Linked DNA regions of Xenopus tropicalis. The protein of the gene in region 1 purifies or fractionates together with the protein of each later gene. This does not show direct contact. Links are inferred from orthologs where the notes say so. Each region holds a gene or a part of one and is shown on either strand. Other genes may lie near its edges. The genes, in order: eif3d and eif3h.

What was found.
Region 2: the proteins of eif3d (region 1) and eif3h purify together in Homo sapiens (affinity purification with mass spectrometry; 10 studies listed by BioGRID and IntAct, counting the BioPlex papers as one, with this or other methods). This does not show direct contact. The link is inferred for Xenopus tropicalis from reciprocal best matches to the Homo sapiens genes EIF3D and EIF3H.

The regions. Positions count from the first base shown.
Region 1 is NC_030680.2:123,536,318-123,540,143, reverse strand, and holds part of eif3d (eukaryotic translation initiation factor 3 subunit D), read right to left. Parts: intron 2,946-3,826; coding exon 2,813-2,945; intron 2,720-2,812; coding exon 2,572-2,719; intron 1,490-2,571; coding exon 1,359-1,489; intron 45-1,358; coding exon 1-44. UniProt on the Homo sapiens protein: mRNA cap-binding component of the eukaryotic translation initiation factor 3 (eIF-3) complex, a complex required for several steps in the initiation of protein synthesis of a specialized repertoire of mRNAs.
Region 2 is NC_030682.2:136,704,001-136,707,826, reverse strand, and holds part of eif3h (eukaryotic translation initiation factor 3 subunit H), read left to right. Parts: intron 1-2,967; coding exon 2,968-3,067; intron 3,068-3,826.

The DNA.
Region 1 (3,826 bases):
TCTATGAAGGGATTTGGGTTGGGAAATGTGTGCTTCTCTTTGCCCTGAAAGAGAAAAGGAAATTCCTAGTTATAAAGGTGAAAAGTCTTGCATCTTGTAATCCATTTGTCATCTCACCAGCCTTGAAAAAAAGATTGTGATTTTGAGAAATATATATCATTATTAAATTAACCCGAGGGACACAGGACCAAAGTTGTCACCTAGAAAGAAAATCAAACAGAGGGCAGCAGGCGGAGCCAAAAATGACCAACACCTGCAGAACTTTGCATCCAAAGCATTTGTGAGATGCTGCAAAAAAAAAAAAAAAAAGTGTAGAAAAGAGGGCCAAACGAATGCCAGAGCTGATATTTGGTTCCTGAAGGCCCATGAAGTACTCCAGACCTGGTCCTAACCTTGGCACTTAGAAAAAACTGAGCTGTACTGTAGGATATGGCTTGAGAAGGAGGAGCCATTTTTGTTCCTTAACAGTAACACCAAAATATGAAAGTGTTTTAAAGTAATTAAAATATAATGTACTGTGGCCCTGCACTGGTAAAACTGGTGTATTTGCTACAGAAACGCTCCTATAGTTTATATAAATAAGCTGCTGTGTAGCCATGGGGGCAGCCATTCAAGCTGGAAAAAAGGAGAAAAGGCACAGGCTACATAGCAGATAACAGATAAACTCTGTAGAATACAATGGCATTTTATCTGTTATCTGCTAAGTAACCTGTGCCTTTTCTCATTCGAATGGCTGCCCCCATGGCTACACAGCAGCTTTGCTTATATAAACTATAATAGTCTTTCTGAGGCAAACACACCAGTTATACAGTGCAGGGTAACAGTGCATTATATTGTAATTACTTTAATACGCTTTCATATTTTGATGTTACTGTTCCTTTAATGTCCTGCCTCATACAGGTGGAAGCTATACCTACAGTCCCTATGTCCCCCAAAGCTATAGTGAGAGTAACTGGGTCCAAAAAAGCACCATTATAAATTCTCACATACATATGAGACACACTTGGCACCCAAATTCCCAACATAATAATACACCCTAGTACAGCCTGCCTATTGAGTGATACCAACTATTTCCAGCCAACTAACTACAAGTAGATTTAATCATACTATGAACAAGAGAACATTATGGGTAGCATATAAAACATAGGTGCTCAGTGACACCAGTGCATTTGCTCATACAGCCAATCAGATGTATGCTTTCATTTTCTGCTAACTATTAAAAGTAAATTGCAGACTGCTTGCCATGGGCCTTTGCTGTTAAGAAATTTTATCGCCAATGTTAGTAACTGAGGCTTCACTGTCTATAGGCTTCTATATGCCTATATTCTATATGAGGCTTCTATAGTCAAAGCACTCACCATGCGAAGGCATTGCTGGGAGAAATTGTGGTTGATGTAAGTGGCCTCCATGGCCAGATTCCGTGGGGAGTTTAAGGAGTTCACGTCATCCTGAGGGGGCTCATTGGCAGTTTCGCTCACGGTGAGCAAATCTAGAGAAGGACATAAAAATTAAGCAGCGTGCCAAGAAAAACACAAGAGAACTAAACACACAAAATCATGTACAGAAGCACTTTTCATTGCATGCCAATCAAATCATGGCTTTTATATCTATACAATCTAATCAAGACAGTATTACATAAGTAGAGTAGGAAAAGGAGTTTTAGGGCTATAAATAGTGCACACAGGGCATTTTTCATGCCACTATTTATCCTGGCTCACTTCCAACAAAATATCCAACGGATCAGGCCACAGCCAATAAGTTTAATTTCACTTAATTAACAACTGTAGTTACAAGTGCCTCTTACCTTTGTGTACAAAGTGAAGCAACTTGTGCTAATCCCTAACTTTGCCTTTTTAACGTTATCTTTCCACAAGAAAAGTTACCTTGATCAGCCCCATTTTCCATTTGCATAAGTCCATATCAGAGATTTAGACTTTACTAAGATAAACTATGTAATTTGTTATCTGTCTATGGAAACAACTGCAATATAACATTATGTTAAGGTTGCAGTTGTTTGTGCATTTTACACAGTCATTCAATATGTATCACTATATAGAACACTAATGGACCTAGGTGGAGCAGGCGGCAAACTATATTTAAGGGTGTCAGGTTACACATCTAGACCACCAGGTTCAGCCATTTGCTGTAAAATATTTGAACACAGAACATTCTCAGACAATACTAATCTACAGGCTACCTTAAGCCCAATAATAGTGAAGTTAAAAAAGATATTCTATCTATAAAGCTTACTGCATTTGTGACACAGCAACCCTAAGGCTGTGAGGATACACAAGTTTGAATCTGCCCTCTAGGGCTTTACCTATCTCATAATGGCCATGGCGACAGTGCACAAGGAGCTCTGGGCTTCTGGAGGGCTTGCTAGCCATTCTCCAGTACTGATCAGTATGCTCAGTGATGTGATTATATAAAGCTAACAAGGGGAAGCTTCAGAGGCATGCATCTGGACTCTCAGCTCCCCTTCGTACCTCCAAGCTACTATATTAGGGTTTGAGGCTTTGGTTGCTACAGAGCTCACAAAGCTTAGACTGGTGCCACCTTTTGCCTACTCACCAAAGTCTGAGTTGTCTCTCTTGTCAAAGAAGATCTTCGACCCCACCCTTTGGACCACAATGTCCCAAGAATTGACTGAACGTGTGCAACACATAAGCGTGGCAAGTATAGCATCAGTAGCAAAGACATTGCCCTGAGTTTTAGCCAACTATGGAGAAAGAATACAAGAAAAGTTATTAGGTGTCAATACATCACAAGGTTTAATTTGTAGAAAAAAAGTCCAAGCAAAATGGTACCTCACCTTCCGAATAACAGGATCATCAGTGGTAGTCACTGTGTGAAATATTCTTTTAATACTCTTCAAAGGTCTCTCATTTCTGGTGGTAATGCGATCGAATGCTTTGTCATAGAATTCCAAGGCCCCACAGCACTCTCTGGCATGAGGAATGAGAAGATTTAAAATACTTGCCTAGATACATTATTTCCAAGAAATAATTAGCATTTTATGTAGGTTAGCATGCAATATTAATATTGCATTTAGGCCGCCGCCTACAGAGCAGCACGATGGTGAAACTGACACAGTTCTTGTGAGTTCTGTATATAATGCCTCAGCACAGAAACCTTCTGAAACTGCCTACAAAAGTACAATAAATAAGGAAATTAATGTGGCTTTGCATTATTAAAGAAACACTAACACCAATATGAAAGCACTTTAAAGTAATTAAAACGTAACGCACTGTTGCGCTGCACTGGTAACACTGATCTGTTTCCTTTAGAAACGCTACTACAGTTTATATACACACTCTGCTATGTAGCCATGGGGGCAGCCATTCAAGCTGGGAATAAAAGGAGAAAAGGTGCAGGTTACATGGTAGAAACCAGATAAAACACCTTTTTTTTTACGTATTTTACAGGGCTTATCTGCTACATCACCTGTGCCTTCTCCTTTCTCCAGCTTGAAAGGCTGCCCCCATGGATACACAGCAGGGTATTTATATAAACTACAGTAGGGTTTTTTAAGCAAACACACAACTTTTACCAGTGCAGGGCAACAGTACATTCTTTTTTTTTTTCATTACTTTGATACATTTTCATTTCTTGGTGTTACTGTTCCTTTAAAGTGGAAGACATAAGAATACATTTTAGTATCTAGGTTCTTAAAAGAAATATGAGCAAAGGGTGGGCGTGGAATCCGTATTCTAGTCAATGGCCCTAACAAGCAGAAACGATTTCACTTCGAAAAATGAAAACCCAATTAATACAAATCCAGCAAAAAAGATAAGTTGCAAAGCTGCTTAGGATACTGCCATCTAAA
Region 2 (3,826 bases), on another chromosome or scaffold:
AAATGGTTGTATATTTGTATTTGTTGCTTCCGAGACTGGGAAACCTGCTCCCACCTCCCTGTCAATTAGATTCCGAGTGCCAAACAAAGGAGCAGCCTGTCTGCAGGTCCTACCATTTTGCTCATGGAATTGGTTCTATTTCTACCTTCTTATACAAGGTCGTCGCCCTCAAAGCATCCGCTATTTCCGAGAAGGGAGGAGGTCTGCTTGTGCCATAGATATACAGCAGCATGCAGGGAGTATGTGCTACATATACAGGCACCCCCTTGTGCCCTCACCTTTCCCATGGCTTATCTCTGCCTATGGGCGTCAGGCCTCGCGCTGTATCGCTCTCTCTTGGAGCTGTGTGGCCATAGTGTCTGTGATTTGCCATGCACGGAAGGCATGCAGTGTGCCGGGGAGCAGTGCAGTCTGCATGCTAATAAGCTCAGCATTGAAATTTTTCAGCAGGCAGCCTTATCGCTTGCAGTAGTAGCAGCAGCAGACAAGAGGCAAATACATTAACTAATTGTCTCTTTGCATAGCATGGCCCCCTAGCATTACATACCTCCTGCTTTGTGTGAGTCCTCTGCTATTCCTCCTTTATTTCCTAAATGGGAATATTAAGAGGTCAGGTTTTCTTTAACCTATCATCTATTTAGGTGTTACTGACTCTGCATGCAAAGTACACTGCCTAAACAAGCTCATATGTAAAACCCTGCTTCATCTAAATAAACCATTTCAATATAAATATACTTTTTTTTAGTAGTATGTGCTATTGGGTAATCCTAAATAGGAAACTGCCATTTTAAGAATTAAGGGCCGTCCCCTGGGATCATAGGATTCACAGTGCACACAAACAAGCCAAGGCACACATACATGCTAGGCCCCATCAGCCAATGAATGGGCAGAGTTCTGCCTTTTGCTCCCACACTACTTCCTGTTACAGTTAGAGCTGCATCACTTCCTGTCAGCTGATCTCTGAGGGAGCACACAGCCCATCACTAAATGGCGGCTCAAGGGAAAGGATGTAAAAGAGCAATATTTAGTGATACTGTTTATATAGTTTATATTATCTGTTGGTTAAGTGTTCATTCTGGGGGTATAGTTTTTCTTTAAGCTGCCTGGCAACTGCATTCTGTATAACGGCTTACTTCCCATAGCCCTCCTGTTTTATAATTGTCTCACAAGAAGTTAGCAGGGGTCTCAACCTATAGGGATCTGGATTATGTTGTCCACCTATTACACAGAGCATTGGCTGACCAGATCTTTGTAACACTAATATTTTTTCCATTTAAACGTTTCAGCTTCAGATTTCCTATACACCTTCAAGGGTCTGTATAAAATGGATAGTTCATTTTACTGGTGTGTCCTTATTGTTTTTTATGTCTGTAAGTAAGGTAACACGGGACATAAATGTGCTGAGAGTGAAGCAGTTGTGCAGTACAGACTTTGGAGCTTCTGCAATCTTTAAGCAATGCTGTATCTTCTGTAATAGAACAGGTCTGAATTATTTAGTTACGGCAGCAAGTAAAGGCACCTCTAAAAATTTCTCTCCGCTTATAGTGCCTAGCTGTTACAGAAATGATGCACCGCTTACCTCCCCTGTACATTATATCTTCTTGACATTGTAAGTAGGTACAGGTATAGGACCCAGAATGCTCGGGACCAACGCTATTCCAGATAAGTGATCTTTCCGTAAATTGGATCTTCAAGTCTATTAAAAAATCAATAAAACATCAATTATACCCAATAGGATTATTATGCATCCAGTAAGGATTAATTATATCTTAGTTGGGATCAAGTACAGGTACTGTTTTATTATTACAGAGAAAAGGGAATCATTTAACCATTAAATAAACCCAATAGGGCTGTTCTGCCCCAATAAGAGGTAATTATATCTTAGTTGGGATCAAGTACAGGTACTGTTTTATTATTACAGAGAAAAGGGAATCATTTAACCATGAAATAAACCCAATAGGGCTGTTCTGCCCCAATAAGGGGTAATTATATCTTAGTTGGGATCAAGTACAGGTACTGTTTTATTATTACAGAGAAAAGGGAATCATTTAACCATGAAATAAACCCAATAGGGCTGTTCTGCCCCCAATAAGGGGTAATTATATCTTAGTTGGGATCAAGTACAGGTACTGTTTTATTATTACAGAGAAAAGGGAAGCATTTAACCATTAAATAAACCCAATAGGGCTGTTCTGCCCCAATAAGGGGGTAATTATATCTTAGTTGGGATCAAGTACAGGTACTGTTTTATTATTACAGAGAAAAGGGGAATCATTTAACCATTAAATAAACCCAATAGGACTACTATAATTACCTCTTATTGGTGGCAAAACAATCACTATTAGTGGGGATCACTCACTCCCTTCGTAAGTAGTCCTTGGTCCCCACAAGACAGTCACATTTTCAGTTACTGGGAAATGACCATTATTAAAGGAGAATGCAAGTCAAGATTTAAAAAGCATACTGCCCAATAGTCCTCCTATTGTTTAGTAAAACGCCACACTTTTGTGAACAGTCCTATTGGGTTTATTTAATGTTTCAATTATTTTTTAGTAGAAAGGTATAAAAATCCAAATTATGAAAAAATCTGTAAAACCCCTGAAGATTCTGAAAAACAGGCCCCATACCTGTACATTTATCCCTTTAGATTTCCAGTGGACTCTTTCAAAGGAAATAACAGCTTGAGGGTCAGTGTTAATTAGATCAAAATAAAATTATTTTATCCCTTATGCCTTATAGAAAGTGAGTGTATGCAGAGTAGGTTGGGCCCAGAGAAACCATGTCCCAACTTTTATGTTGGGCCTTACTGCTTTTGTACTTTGGGGAGGTAAGTTAAGGTTGCAGCGGGCACCAATTTAGGAGGCAGAGTGCATGTATTTTTTTTTTAAACTTGTGTTTAGTTTTTGTAAATGATGAAATAAAAATCTGTTTATGAAAATAGCATTGACATTGAATCTCCTTCTGTAGATCCCATCAAAACCGGCCAGGGCTCCCTCTCGCTGAAGGCTTATCGGCTGACACCCAAACTGATGGAAGTCTGCAAGGAAAAAGACTTCTCGGCTGAAGGGTACGTGAATGAACAGTGTGTGGAACTTGGCAGCTTGCTTGTTTCCCGGATTGGGAAGGTGTGAGGAACACGGCAGAGAACATGTTGTCCAGTCATTTAAGGCAAAGAGATTACTAGAATGAGAAATCAGAAAATGTGAGCGCGTGAATTGCTCGCTGTGTCTCCGGCGTGTTCCATAAATTCCTGACGCTCCAATCATGCGATTGTGTAGCTCCAAGGGCTGCATCTTCCTCTTGCTTTGGGTGGATAGGCGCTCTTGCAGTGTCTCATTAAAGAGAAATTAGAGTGCTCGGTAACAGCTGCACCTTTGTGAGACAGTGTGTGCGTTATCCGCAGATACGTGTGCTCTGTATCGCACATGGATTGCTTGGGGTCACCTCATGAGCAATGGGGGCATAGCATTTTAAAAGATGGAAATTTGGTGCTTGAAGCATCACTACTTCATTTTGTTTTACCCAAATAGTTTGTTCTATATACAGGTATAGGACCCGTTATCCAGAATGCTCGGGACTAAGGGTATTCCGGATAAGGGGTCTGTGTAATTTGGATCCCCCATACCTTGATACTACAAAATCAATAAAACATTAATTAAACCAAATAGGATTGTTTTGCCTCCAGTAAGGATTAATTATATCTTAGTTGGGATCAAGTACAGGTACTGTTTTATTATTACAGAGAAAAGGGAATCATTTAACCATGAAATAAACCCAATAGGGCTGTTCTGCCCCCAATAAGGGGTAATTATATCTTAGTTGGGAT